2 linked regions of the Oreochromis niloticus genome follow. The protein of the gene in region 2 interacts with the protein of the main gene of each other region in a pairwise test. Links are inferred from orthologs where the notes say so. Each region holds a gene or a part of one and is shown on either strand. Other genes may lie near its edges.

The links. The genes of interacting proteins can lie anywhere in the genome.
Region 1: the proteins of nudt3b (region 2) and ankyrin repeat and SOCS box protein 13 interact in a two-hybrid assay, tested with the Homo sapiens proteins (2 studies listed by BioGRID and IntAct). The link is inferred for Oreochromis niloticus from reciprocal best matches to the Homo sapiens genes NUDT3 and ASB13.

The regions. Positions count from the first base shown.
Region 1 is NC_031981.2:37,811,294-37,818,978, reverse strand, and holds the start of ankyrin repeat and SOCS box protein 13, read left to right. Parts: upstream 1-4,634; 5' UTR 4,635-4,763; coding exon 4,764-4,806; intron 4,807-7,298; coding exon 7,299-7,486; intron 7,487-7,581; coding exon 7,582-7,685. Other genes in the region: asb13a.1 (ankyrin repeat and SOCS box protein 13a.1), read left to right, coding at 645-687, 1,230-1,417, 1,683-2,049, 2,295-2,486, 2,600-2,745. UniProt on the Homo sapiens protein: May be a substrate-recognition component of a SCF-like ECS (Elongin-Cullin-SOCS-box protein) E3 ubiquitin-protein ligase complex which mediates the ubiquitination and subsequent proteasomal degradation of target proteins.
Region 2 is NC_031970.2:9,790,992-9,798,488, forward strand, and holds the start of nudt3b (diphosphoinositol polyphosphate phosphohydrolase 1), read left to right. Parts: upstream 1-4,489; 5' UTR 4,490-4,772; coding exon 4,773-4,871; intron 4,872-6,097; coding exon 6,098-6,208; intron 6,209-7,497. UniProt on the Homo sapiens protein: Cleaves a beta-phosphate from the diphosphate groups in PP-InsP5 (diphosphoinositol pentakisphosphate) and [PP]2-InsP4 (bisdiphosphoinositol tetrakisphosphate), suggesting that it may play a role in signal transduction.

The DNA.
Region 1 (7,685 bases), on a different chromosome or scaffold from region 2:
GATTTATTTATTTAATAGTTTCAACTATGCAGCAGGGTTTGTAATGTCTGCTTCTACACATCTTTATCCAGACAACATTTGGTAGTGCGTCATAATGGATGAAAGCTGGAACTTGTAATACTGGGTCACCAGGTAAAAACACTGCCTTCATCAGTTCCATGGATCTAACACACAAACACATGCTGATGGTTAGTGCCAAGCTAAAGAAACTAAAACGAGCTTCTTGGACACACAGCAAGTCAGTTTTCTTATCAAAGGCATCCGTGGGACAAACATGGTGAGCAGAAGAAAAGATGAAGCCCAGGAGCTGCAGCTGTCGAAGCACTACTGTAGCCTTGAATCACGCACGGCAGAGTTATCATACGTTGTTCGCATCACTGTATAAACGAGCCTTTAATGCTTTAAAGGTAGCTGGTCTATGATTACTGACTCGCTTAAAAATAAAAAAAATCGTTCCGAGTAACCAATCTAGGAAATGGATTTTGACACTTCCGCGTTCGCTTTATCTCTGAGCTCTGCAGAGTCCTCGTCTGGTTTTCAGATCGCTACTACAATTCCCATAATGCCGCGCTGGCTTTACGTTCGACCCTTTCAGCGTTTACTAATGTGTGTCTGTAGAGCACCGTGTGTGGTAACCGGTAATCATGGAGGTGACAGCAGCCCGCCGCTCGTTTCTGTGCGACATCGGTAAGCATGAAGCATCGTCAGCAGTTAATAATTTACACCCCAGCTCACATCTACGGGAACGGCTGACGGCTGAAACCGTATGTTCACTGCCAAAAGCGGGTTTTAACCGGGAAATGTAGGCGGAGAGTAACAACTGAGAGTCCCGTCAGTGCTGTGTCGAGAAAGTTCAGCCGTTACACAGACCAAGTCATTTGGTAGCTAACTGGCTTATAGCTGGGTAACATGCTCGGTTTTTCTCTGTAAATGAAGAAAAATGCGACATTCGAGGAGTACACTATAACTAATGGACGTATGCACTAAACATGATGAATGAGGGGGAAAGACTTTTATAGTTATTTCTGTAATCAGTCTAAATATTGCCCTTGTTCATATATTTGTAATAGACACTTTGCCATGACATTGACGGATATTGACAGAATAGACGTATTCCACCCAGTACTGCTGCCATGTTTACTGGGTTTACACATGCACTGGTTAATGGAAGCTGTTTCAGCTGTCTCTTTGCTGTTGTGCTAATGTGTGTGTGTGTGTGTGTGTGTGAGGCTTCTGGGCAGACCGCACGGCTCTGCACGAAGCAGCATCCCACGGCAGGGCTTTGCAGTTGAAGCAGCTGATAGAAAACGGAGCGTCTGTCAACATGGTGACTGTGGATAACATCACGCCTCTACATGAAGCCTGCATCCAGGCTCATCCAAACTGTGCTCGCCTGCTGCTGGAGGCAGGAGCCCAGGTGAGGCACAGCTTCACTCTACAAGCCTGACTCGTGTAGAGTCTTGGGGTCGCACACCTTAACACAGCAGGTACAAAATGATGCTATCTGGTGCAGAATCCCACTGCTGGTACGTGAGATCTGTGAAGCATCAGCAAGAGTCTCTCCCTCTGTGACAGTCTCACAAACGATAACTACTGTTTCTGTTGTTCAGGTCTTAACATGGCCCTACAATTTGGTAGATTACCTAAAGAATAGACAGATAATGTTCATCTGTTTGCTCCAGGTGGATGTACGCACCATCCATGGTAGCACGCCTCTTTGTAATGCTTGTGCGGCTGGCAGCCTGGAATGTGCCAAGCTGTTGTTGGACTATGGAGCCAAAGTGAACCCGTCCCTCACGGCTCTCACTGCCTCACCGCTCCATGAGGCCTGCATACAAGGTAAACCTTCAGCAGGAACAACACCCTGTCATGCTATCACGTCTCCCTATGAACGACACTTCACATTCCTCTCAGGTAATCCCCAAGTTGTGAGACTGCTGATAGCCAGTGGTGCCAAGCTGGAGGCATTTGACGTCCACTTTGGTCCTCCCCTTCACATAGCATGTGCTAAAGGACATCTGAATTGTGTCAAGGAGCTGCTAACTGCAGGTGTGTTAAAGGTGCAATGTATGGTTGTTTTATTTTGAAAGTTCAGTTGGTGATAGCCAGTTTCCTACAGAGAGTGCTGCAGCTAATCAAAGCTGTCAGAGGGCGAGAGGCGGGGTTCATTCTGGATAAGTGTCCAGTTTGTCACAGGGCTGAGACAGACAGCTGTTCACTCATACTAACAGCTATACCATTTAACCTGTGCATGTCTTTGGACTAAGACCTTTAAATCATTGTGAATTATGCAGGTGCTAATGTGAATGCAGTGAAGTTCCATGAAATAGCGTTGCATCACGCAGCTCGGGTCAGTATGGTGGAAATGATTGAGCTGCTGGTGGAGTTTGGAGCCAATGTGTACGCCAGCGACAACCTGGGAAGAAAGCCTATAGACTACACAACACCTGCATCTCCCTCGTACACCTGCCTCAGGTTTTATGAAAGTAAAGTTCTGCGTTCTGTCTGAGTTACAGCAAAAAAGTTCAAGTTCTTATGTTCTTGCTCTTTTTTTGCTTTTGAGGCCTGATCGTCTTATTAAAACATTTGTTGTTGACAGGTAATCCTTTGAGCCTGCAGCAGCTTTGCAGGATTGCTGTGAGGAGGATGCTGGGTACCAGAGCATCAGAGGTCCTGAGTCAGCTGAATATATCCCACCGCATCAACAGCTACCTCCAGTACTGTGATCATCCCATATCCCTATAGACCTACACATGAACATTATAAAAGGTTTAAAATGTCCCCACAAAATGTTTGCCATTCAGATGAAACACATGTAACCAGGATGAAAATATCTGTACGCAGTCAGTTCAACATTGTATGTCAAATTAAACCAATTCATTGCTGAATGAGAAAAAGCATTTCCTTATATAAATCTCTGTTTCAGCACTCTGACAATTTCCAACACATTTATAACACATAAGGCTGGGTGTCAAGTCCTTTTATCGCCTCAGCTGTGATGGACAGGGGGACTGTCATCTCTCTCTACTCCACATTACGCGACACCGGCCAGACTACCAAAATTACTCCAAGAGCACATCAGTGACTCAGGTCAAGTTATTTTACCCTGCTGGGATATAAGCTGGCCAAAGGAGGAGACAGAAGTCAGTGACATCAAGACCAGGAAGCTCCTGACCATGCACGGATGGTTTCACCCCAAGTCCAGCACCCTGAGGCTGTACGCTAAGCAGAAGGACGGAGGCCGGGGACTGGTGAGCGTCAGCACCACAGTCCAGGATGAGACAACAAACATCCACAAATACATCAGGAAGATGGCCCCAACCAAATGCATGCTAGGTGAATACCTCAGGCAGCAGAAACCCGAGGAAGAGGAGGAACCATCATGGAAGGACAGGAACTGCATCCCCAGACAGAGGAAGTGGCTGACATAAAGAAATCCTACCAGTGGCTGGACTGAAAGACAGCACAGAGGCACTAATCATGGCAGCACAGGAACAAGCTCTGAGCACACGCTCCATAGAGGCTGGGGTCTATCACACCAGGCAAGACCCCAGGCTGTGTAAAGATGCCCCTGAGACAATCGATGAATGGCTGTCCTGTTTGGGTACTGCTCACCAGGAGATGCTACATGAAAAGAGATGAAACAGTTGTTTGGTACAGGACAAACAGATTAGTTAGGTGACGGTGATGGATTTAGAGTAAAGAACAGTGTGTGACTCGTAATCAGAATTAGATTACATCAAGTGTAGCTGATGACACTTAGATTAATTCACTGAATTCCACCTTCATGCCAACTTTATACCATCTAGTATGAAGACAGCATAAACAGTGTACTGTCAGTGTAGGGACTGGAAATCAGCCAAGCAAGCTTGTCAGATATTGGGTTACATACTGTTCAATTCAGTTATGTAAATGGTCAAAGAGCAGTAAACCTCAGAGCAGCAGCAGTTACACAGGTCAGCTGATCAAAGCCTGTTCAGAGACAATCTACAGGAGCTCTCAACAGAAATATTGTGAGTGGTAAATCTTCCTGTACTTTTACCACCTCTACCTGCAGGGCAGCTTACTCTGTGGTTCCAACACCAGCTGTTGTGTGAAACAGCTGTTAAATACACCAGATTATAGTTTCATCTTTGATCGTGACCAGGCGTATTGTTCAGGACAGGTTCCTTATACCGAGGCTGAGTTGCTCACCTGGTGAGGATTTGTTTGGATCTCTGTGTTTGCCATGGATTCAATAACAGTTATTTCTATATAATCTAAGGATTTTACATGGGCCTGAAAATCGCACCAGTTTTCAACTCTTTCTTATTGATAATCAAATAGATCTAAATTTAAATTCTGTTATTAATCAATTATCTAATATCCCATTAAATCCTGAGCCACGGGGGTCATGAATGTTTAGAAAGTCAAGTATTTGTCAATGTATTTTTGATATTGTATGTTATCCATATTATTTATTTATGAATTGCGTTTAATATGTGACATCACGGCGTCATATGTTGCTAAGGGCTTTTTACTGCACAGATTTTCATAGATTATTATTTAATCTGAGGTAGAATAAGTATTTGTTGTACTCTCCACGCGTGAAACAGTTTTATTTGGGGTAAAAACTACAAAGTCCAACATGCCCGCGGAGGTCGGGTTTTGTCACGTGACTCCTGCCGCATGTAGAGAGCGAGGACGCGACTGTTTACAAACAGCTCGTTTGTCCCCGCGTTTCATGTCAGCCGAGCTTGTTCTGCGGGGGAAGTATTCGGAGGATGGACACTGAAAAGTCTCGGCCCTATTTCTTTGGCGACATCGGTGAGTATGAGCGCAGACAACATGGCCGGCGAGACTGTCGTTTAATCGAGCCGTGGCCGAGTTTGACGTCAGCTTGGCTGTAGCTAGCAGGTAATAACAGCTGGCATAGAGAGAATTTATTCACCTGGAAAACGTGACGAAAAAGAAGTGGCAGGCGGTAACTTACACAACAATGGTCGCCATACAAAACCCAAACACGCACTGAGCTGTGAACCATAAACTATTACAATCAATCACAACCACTGATCAAAGATCATTGATCGGTGGTTGTTGATCAATGGTCTTGACAATTAGCATATTGTTGGTCAGTGGTGCTAGTTTGAGTCATCGTGTAAATGTCCTGTTTATAAGGTTGGGGAAACCTGCAGTCAGCTGGGACTGAAGAAGTCACTGGATGATGATGAAACGTTTCTCGCTACGTCCAGATGAACAGAATCAACATTTTTTCCTTACCTGGATGATTGAGACATACACTTGACTTTGTCTCTGTAGAGGATGTGATATTAAGGATGCAAAATGAACTATACAAAGATCCAAGAAGCTTTACGACAGCGCGGTCTGAGATGAAGGGAGAGAGATTCTTTTACTTTGGCATGTTTTCATTTATGTCCATTTTTAGATTTGACTAGGCAGCTTGCACTGATGGAAAGCCACTGGCACACAGTATGAGTGTATATGAAATGGATTGTGGGAGGAAGTTCATGCAACCCCACAAAGAGCAAATAAAGCTGGAACAAAGGGTCCCAAGAAACTTGAACCTGGTTCTCTTGGAGTGTGGTGACCGTGCTAAGCACTGTACCACACTATCACCACACAGGTCCCCTTTAATGGGTGGTTGGACTTGGCCCCAGGTGTGGATGCAAGCTAAGTAAAAACAGAAGAAAAGGTGAATGCGTCTCTTAGAATTACACACACTGACCATCACACATTGGTCACCGAGTGGTAGAAAAGCTAGAAAAGTACTAATTCTGTATATATTTATTTGTATATCTGTGCAAATGTCAATGTCCACTTTATTTATGCAAGTGGTGAAGAGATGACTGACCTGCACCAACATAAAGGGAACTGCAGTAATCTGGGCACGTTGATATGAAACATGGCTCAATCTTTCAAAATCCTTAGGAAATAAAGTTTTACCTTAGCAAGAAGTCGTAACTGAATAAAGCTTATGAAGCTTATTTGCTTTGTGAATTTAAAGGAGCTGTCAAAAAATACGCCAAGATGCCTGACAGAGGAGCGATTGAACGACAGAAAACGCTCAAGAATGGTTTTGGAAAGATCTGATCTCCTAAATACTGTAACCTCCATTTTGTTATTGTTGAGGAGGAGGAAGTTTGAGTCCATCCAGACTTTTATATCAGCCAAACAGTCCAATAACAGTTTCACAGAGTTGTCTTCATGCATGCTCAGTCATCCAGGTAAGTAAATCCCAAAAAGTTGATTCTGTTCAACTTTTTGGGATCCAAAAAGTTTCTCTCACTGAAAACACTACGTCCAAGACTTGTTAGTTTTTTTATGAAATGGCAGATAGAGTTGAATGTCATCAGCAAAGCAGTGGAAAGAGATATTATATTTAAAATAAAAATAGACCCTAGAGCCAACATACATAAGGAAAATAAGAAGATAGGGTTCCCCTAGGATGGATCCTTGAGGAACTCCACAAGTAAGAGGTGCTGCAGCTGAGGAATAAGCATCTGTCTGGACTGAGAAGCTCCTATTCATAAAGTGAACCACTGTACAGCAGTTCCCTTAATGCCCACAATGCTCGAGCCTCATAACAGGATACTGTGATCTACAGTGTCGGCTGGGATCTACGAGCATCAGAAAAGCAGGGGTTCCCATAGATGCGCAGTGAGATCATCTTTCTCTCAGCCGAAGAAGGCCGAGAGAAAGATGATTGGACTAGAATAGTGATGTCACAAACAGCTTGAGAGCGTGGGAAAGTGGAAGTGATGTGAAGTTTAGATTTAGCCGGAGACACCTGGGAGCAGACAGATGTGAGCTTCCTTATTAAACCTGCGCGTACGCTTCATTTAAAGCTGATAAACACACAGGATCACACTGGTTTAAAGCAGCAGGGCACGATGGATAAGTAAGACACGCCCAGTAGGGATCAGTACTACAAATACTTCTGAAAACCTCAAATCTGATATTTTTGCCGTGAAAAACTATTAAAATTTTTCACAAAGTTTACTGGAAGCTGTAGAGGCGAATGAGTTAGAAGGATTTGAAATGACTGTTAGAAGAGATTTAGCAACTTTTACAGCATTTTGATATTCATGTAAACAGTCCTTCAAGATTCCTAAGGACACACGCGGTTTGTCTTTTTTCCATCGTCTCTCGGCTTGTCTGCATTCAGCCCGACGCTGCGAGTGTATAGGTGTTCCACAGGTAACATGCAGACTGAGAAACGCCAGCAGAACAACTACTATAAATGAAATGGTGGAAATGTGATGAGGTTTCAGTTCATGATTGAACCTGCTCCTCTGCAGGCTGCTGGGCGGAGCGAACAGAGGTGCACAAGGCAGCGTCGCTCGGTCAGGCCTCCCAACTGGAGGAGCTCATTCAGGGCGGAGCCTCGGTCAACATGGTGGCCGTGGATTCCATCACACCGCTGCACGAGGCGTGCCTCCACGGACAGGCCAAGTGCGTGCAGCTGCTGCTTGAGGCTGGAGCTCAGGTGAATCACAGACACAGTCTGTCAAACTGGAGATCACATTTCTTGCAAACAAGCTTGCTTGATGAGCAACACTCTGTTCCCCATCATGCTGTCAGGTGGATGCAAGGAATGTGGATGGAAGTACCCCGCTGTGCGATGCCTGTTCAGCTGGTAGTTTGGAGTGTGTGAGGCTTTTGCTGCAGTACGGTGCCAAGGCGAA
Region 2 (7,497 bases):
TTTATTTTATTTTATTTTATTGTATTTTATTGCATTCCAGTGTTTTCTAATTTCTGCTACATAACTTTGCACTTTTGCTGTAACAAAACAAATTTCCCACCTGTGGGACTAATAAAGGCCATCTTATCTTATCTTATCTTATTATACAGAGGTTTCACTGTAAGATCTGAGACTATAGCTGTTCAGGTGTTGGATTATATGAGCAGCTGCAGTTGGAGCCCATTAATATAAAGCTAACAGTATCTAATTTAGGTTAGCTAATGTGTTCTGTAGTTTGTTTTTCTTTTTTAATATAGTGTGCTTTAATATGCCTTAACTCTGATTAGTTTTCATCATTTTCAAATCATAATTAATATCCATGATTTGGAGTTCATCACTTGTTAGGTTTTGATTTTCAATATCTGTCACTTTTAATTTAAGCACACATATGCTACCAGTGACACAACGTAGAAGATAAACATCAAAGTCATGTTTCCTTTCATGAAAATTCAAACAAAAAAAAAAAGATATATATTTCAAAATGGAAAAAGGGGGGAAAGGAACATAGTAAGAATTCCTCCTTAAAATACGCATGGATCAGATCATATGGTCTAGGAATAAGAGGTCCCTTATGAACGATTTTTAAAAAAATTAATTAATTAATTTAAAAAGAAATGCTGCAGTACTGCAAGAGGTGAGCGCCCTCTTCTGGACAGGGCAGAAACTGTAACACCGCCCCTATGTGTGAATGGTTCATCAGAGACTTCCAAAGAGAATTGGTTGCCGTAGCAACAGCAGATCGTAATAGTGCAGCCTCTTGAGTGTGACCCTACACAGATATGTTTAATTGTGTAAGACCTGCTTTCCTCATCCTGAAGAGAGAGAGAGAGGCAGCATAGAAACTATATATTTCATTCTGTGCAAACAACTGTGACCCTGATGAATTTCAAATGTCTTTGCAACATGTGTTGTTTATTTTCTGTTGGGTTCATAAATCTTATGGATTCCTTGGAAGTTGGCAGGTGCTTGGAGAAAGTGAAATCAACATAGCTGAAACCCGAAACTTGATTCACTGAGAAAAATCATCAATTGAAACCATCAAAACTTCACCTGTCGCTTGGTGTCATACATTTTCTGGGTTGTTAAAGTTGATAAAGAAATAAAGAGATTAGTCAGTCTTGCAGACAAGTCTGATATAATATAGATTTTTGTAGAGAAAAAAAATCTACAACAAACAAAAAATTCTGTGGCCCCACACGTCTGTGTGTTTTCCTTGCACACTGAAAATCATCTGCTAGTAGTCAACAATAATGCTGTGGTGATGCTGAATGTGCATAATTACAGTATCATGAAGCCTTTTCTCAACAACTGAGAATGTGTTGACCCAACTCCTGCTCCTAGAAAACACTTTTTTTAATTGTTATTTTATTTTAATTACATTTATATGTTAATGTCGCATAATTTACATTAGCCCGGGGAAACACATCTAATTACATTTTTCTTTCCTGCATCTAGTAATGTATTTTAATAGCTACACACAGGAGGTGGTGGACACAATATTATGAACACCTACTGTGCCGTACAATTAGTTTCACTTTAAGGGGACTCAAGCTTTTCACTTTTTTCCCCAATAATTAATCGGGGATGTGTTTAAATAAAAATATGATACAAGTAGGACCAAATATAGGTGGCATGGTGGTCTGATGGCTAGCACTGTCACCCACACAGCAATTAGGTTCTGGTTTGAATCCAGGTTTGGGCCTTTGTCTGTGAAGTTTGCATCTTCTTCCGGTGTTTGCATGAGCTCCCATAGTCCAAAGACATATTTCGGGTTAGGAGATTCTAAATTGGCTATAGATGTAAAGGGTTAGGGTTGTGAAGATGAACTGTCTGTCTCTGTGTGTTAGTCCTGCAACAGACTGGCAATTTGTGCAGGGTCTCTCAGCCTATGAGGGTTTAATAAATGCTCCAGCCCTGTGGCAACCCTTAATTTGATAAGTGGAAGAAATGGACGAATGGGTCCAAAATACAAGCAACCTGTCACTTAGTTATAGTCTCCTCCTCACAGCCTAATGTATTTCCATGTTTAAACCTTTTAAAAGGCGTCCTTGCTCAGTGTTACATATTTTCAAATAATTACCGTAGATGTATAAAAATGTAAGCGATAAGCCTGAGTTATTCTTATTTTATAGAGATTCAATACCATAATTTCATATTAGTTTTTGATTAGCTTTGTTTGTGTTTGTTTCTCTCCTTGATTATGTCATCGAAGCAAGACTTGCCCTTTAATGAAGAGCAATCTGAGATGTGCTGAGAAGAAGGTAAGAGCCACTTCAAATGTCAACATCTGTGGGTAGAAAACTGAGAAGTAAGTGAATCGAATAAGGAGAAATTGCGTTGCTTTGATTACTGGTAGGAAATTGAGTTATTGCAGCTATGACAAAAGCAATGAAATGAGAACTTGAACAATCAATAGAAAAGACTTGAATAAGAGCTTTTTGTAAGAAATCAGCATGCTGAGGATTTGTGTGAGTTTGGTGGAAATCATGATGTGCCAGTCAGCTTAAAATAACTTCAATATTTGCCCCTTTTTTTCTTTTCTGGTTTGGTTTATTGTTTGTATTTGCAGACCTGACTAATTTAATAATAATAATAATAATAATAATGTATACTTTATTGATCCCCGTGGGGAAATTACTCTCTCTGCATTTAACCCATTCACTCAGTGAAGCAGTGGGCAGCCACTAATGGGGCGCCCGGGAAGCAGTGTGTAGGGACGGTAACTTGCTCAGGGGTACCTCAGGGTAGCTGTCCAGTGGGGGGGCGGCCATGCTACCTACTGAGCTATCCCTGCCCCAATTTTTCACACAGAAAACATTTCAACTGACACTAAAGAGTTTTCATTCATGTCCGCTTAACTGCTCTTTATTATTCCATGAACTTTGAACTGTTTGAACTGTTTTTTGTGGGGGGTTTTGTGGTGGTGGTTTCTTGTTTTTTCTTTACACACATCATTAAAATACTGTAAATGAACTTGTTTGCTTGTATGACAGCTGAGATTCATGTCCGTGTTTTTTGGGTTTGTGTGTGAAATTGAGACATTCAACAATAAAGCATTTTTGTTTTATTGTTTGCTGTGGCCCACTCCTTCACACTGCAGTTACATCAGATTCATCCTCCGTTGTTAAGGACAGGGTTTTGTTGTGTGGTTGGTGAGTTTATGTAACAAATTCAATTTAAAATTCAATTTTGAGTTCCCACAATTAAGTCGCTGCAATAATGAGATTAAACTGATTATTTAGGGACCTGAACAGGTTTGTAAGACTGTGACTCACTGTTTATTCATTTATAATAATGCAAATGCAGAGCAAAGTGCTTTTTTTAGCAACATCGACAAGCCCAGACCATCCAATGCTGTTTAAAGCTCTGCTTTCCTAAATTCTTTTAGAATTTAGTTTACATGAAAGGTTCCAGTTTTGGTTCAATCAAATCTCATGTAAACAGTTAAAACAGATGTTAAACGAGACTGAAAAAGCTACATTTCTTTTCCAAATATTAGAAGACATCAATGAAATAGACTTCTGCATTGTTGGTAGACTTTGGCAAGCAAAAAAGAGAGATATTTATATGTCTTATCCAAGTTATAACAATGCAGAAAACCCTGATAAGATTCAGACTTTGGTCAACCTTTCCTGGAAAGCAAAGATAAAGATTCAGAAATGTCTTTGTGATCTAACTGAGGGCACAAGGGTGTTCTTTCTGATCGATACGCTATTTGCTTCTATGTTGATTTAGCATGCACTGTTAGAGCCACAGCCTGCTCTGCAGATATGGGGCATTAGATAGTACTAGATGAAGAATAAAAGAAGATTAGTGGAGCACTTTCAAATGTATTTTTTTAACCTGTATAAAAAAGTCTAGAGAGACCCAAAGCCATTACAGTGTGTAATTATAGTTTATAATTATTATTGGAAAATGTGTTTTCACAAGCATCTGAGCAATTAAATACTAAAACTCCCATGTAGAGATAACAAGGTTGAAAATCAACATGATAGTAGACTATCCACCTTAATTAAAAGATATTTTTATTATAGGTCAATCCAGTTTTACTCTTTATAATTGATTAACCATTTCTATTATTTAGGTATTTTTGCAGCTATTTTCCATTTGAAGTACATTAGGATTTGACAAAAATACATTTGATGCCTTACTTGAATTTTGTGTTTGCCTAAAAACCGCTTTTCTCACATTATATGCTTACATTGTCGGATCTATTTTGAGGGCCATTCCTGCGCTGTCCATTACCTGCGGTGCTGAAACTGATGAATTAACCTGGTGTGTCTTTTTCTAATGTGAGCAGCAAACTAATTTGATTACGCTAAATACGATGTTTCCCCAAATAAAAAGTCATATAAATTAATATCGGCATCAGATAAGCAGACCGGGCCATCTAGTTGGAGCCTAACGTGCCAGTTCCCTTTACCGGCTCACTCCAGTCAGAGCGTGGTGCTGCGTTTCCCCCCACGCTTCGTTGCCCTAATTCTTCAACCCCTGATAGGTAAATTTCTTACGCTCGCCAAGCTATTAATGGTTAAACTACGTCGTGGGCGTAGCGGCTCCTTGTAATGGCGACCGTGCCGTAGATGTTCCCAGGTTTGTGAAAATGAAGCGAAGAAGAAGTTATTTCTTTTAAGTAAAACGCCGAGGTTCCCCGCAGGAGGACTTTGCGTCTACAACCATCGTCTTTATAAGTGGCAAACATAGCTGTACTTTTGAACTTTTACGCTCCCGAAATGATGAAGCTCAAGTCAAACCAAACCCGGACGTACGACGGGGATGGCTACAAGAAGCGGGCCGCTTGCCTGTGCTTCAGGAGCGAGAGCGAGGAGGAGGTGAGTTCGGTGATGTGAACTGTCTGGCGGGCCAAGCTAATATTAGCATCCGTAGGTTTTATCCAGCCTTTTCTGTTGTATGTAGATCGACACGTTTATCAACACGGCTTTGGTTTTATCCCAGCTGGAAAAGGATTTCTTTTATTCTCGTGTCGACTCCCGACGTTATGATTATTCACTATTTTTCAGCTGGTACTTACCCGAGTGTTATGTAAGCCTCTTTAGCAGTGCAGATAGCAGCCTCGGTTATGATCAGACTTACTAGCTCCGCGCTAATGCTAACGTTAGCTTGCTAACTACCCGGGTTGCTGCCGTGGGCAGCCGGCTATCGGCCAGGAACCACAGCCCACAGTACAGGCTGTGGTGAGTGCTGACTCTATTACTACCAGCTGTCGGATGGACAGAGAATATTTAGTATTTAAAGCGACAGCTAAGATATGTATCTGCTCGCGTTACAGATAGTTTGGCGAGCTAAGTGTATTGTGTTAATGCAACTAGCCAAACATTGTACTGCTATGTAGCTAGTAGCTATCCTAGTTTAAGCCAGAAGATGACTCTGGCAGTGATAGCCGGCTTGCTTGTATCACTTGTGTATTTTGATTAGTTTGTTTGCGAAATTGACACTGTTGATATTTGGAGCACCAGCTTAATGGGAGCGTCGAGCCCCGTGTGCACATTTTACAACATCGCTTATTAATGTTGCTATTTGTGTATTTATCGCTCCTATCTAGCCGTATCAGAAAAAGCGAAAACGTGTTGTGGATTACTTGAGCTCAGTCACGATTTAGGACGCTCACGTACAGTCAAAAGGAGACACAAAGATGCCTTTGTACTTAAAACATTTTACTAGGGGAGGAGATGGGACCAAACCAATTCCCCATTTTGCTTAAAGTAAAGGCCAGACTGTGTAGACACGGGTTGTTGATTACAGGAAACGTATCAGCATTACCAGCACCAAAGTGGAAACTTTTACCTAAGACTGTAGTTTATCTGACTGACACCTAGGCGTTCCACAGTTCATCTCCACTAAGAACCCAACATCTAAACTAGTTCACTAGCTATGATTTATTGACAGTAATAAAAGTACTAGTTATTTTAAACCCAATGGGTTATCATTTCCATTTTTCTTGAAGTTGTATTTTTCGATGTCCCAGTTGATATTATGTGAACAGTAACTCAGAGTTGGACTGTCATACCTGACCAGTATTATATGGGGTGTTTTGCAGGTGCTACTGGTGAGCAGTAGTCGACATCCTGACAAGTGGATAGTTCCTGGAGGGGGAATGGAGCCCGAAGAGGAGCCCAATGTTGCAGCAGCTCGAGAAGTGTGTGAAGAGGTCAGTTGTGTCACTCAATATTGTTATATCTTATTTAAGCCTGTAGCATGATGGCCTTTTCTCTTTGGTTTTCCAAGTGACAGATGTTGTCTCTATGTACACTGCGTACTGGGAACCTTAACATGATCTTTTTCAGAAATGTCAGTAGCTGGAAATATAATTCTCAGAAAGTGTGGCAAATTTGTTTGACTATAGACTCATAAGATGTATTGTATTACAATTCTGTTAACTCGTGTCTGTATTTAACACTGAGCCTGATACCTTGTTCTCAAAATCCATTTTGTCAATGTAGTCATCCTGTTTGCATGGACTGTAAGAGAGAGAGAGCCTAGCAACATGTAAGCTGTATCATAGCATCATGTTACAAAGCAGTCTTTAGGTGTCAAAGGAGGTCACACAGAGATTGAACACTGGCTGCACAGTAGTTTGACTGCAGTACAGTCAAGTCACACAAACGCAGAAAATGACAACAATTGAGTTTTATTGTTTGTACGTTTTCTCGTAGCTATATATATTAGTATACAGTAGTGGTCACATTACAAGGGCAGCTTGGAGGACACAACATGTTGTTTTTGTTGTTCTGTATTGGGGTGGATGGGTAGTAATTAGTAAACGGTTCTGAAGCTAATTGGAAATCAATATTCTACTTATACTGCTTACGCCTGTTTGTTAAATCAGGTATTCTTCCACTCTGCATGCTGTTCATCCTTTGGATATTTTGATCAGAACGGACACAGGGCACATAAGACACTGAATCTCACCCGGCAGTTGGCTCCTAGTGGGCCGCTGACCTTATAAAGCCTATCCTCTCTGTGTGATCCATCACACTGATGGATGCTGATATCATCCCTTATCCTGGCTCCTGCTGATTGGTAGCTTTGGTGGTTGCAGGACACTGAGGCCTGCCAGCAAATTTCCACAGGGTCAAAAGCAATGTCACATCACTGCTCAGGCTCCTTATGTGCTAAAAGGCAACATTCAGAAACTTTGTGCTGCTTGACACATCACCAACTACATTGGCTTTCTAAGCCTCTTATTGGACGATGGTGTAACAGGACATATCCTAATCCTGGTGAGCCTGTTCTGATTACCATATGAGTGATTGCTTATGCTTATTGGTTTGGAGTCTCTCCAGGGATGAGAGTGAAGACAAGGCATGCAGTAGCAAGCCAAAATTTACAGAGGGTTTCTTTGTTAGACTGTTCACTATCTTTGCTTATCCTTGTATTATGGAGATGCACCCTGACCCTGCAACCTGAAGACGCATTGCATAACTGGTAACGAAGTCT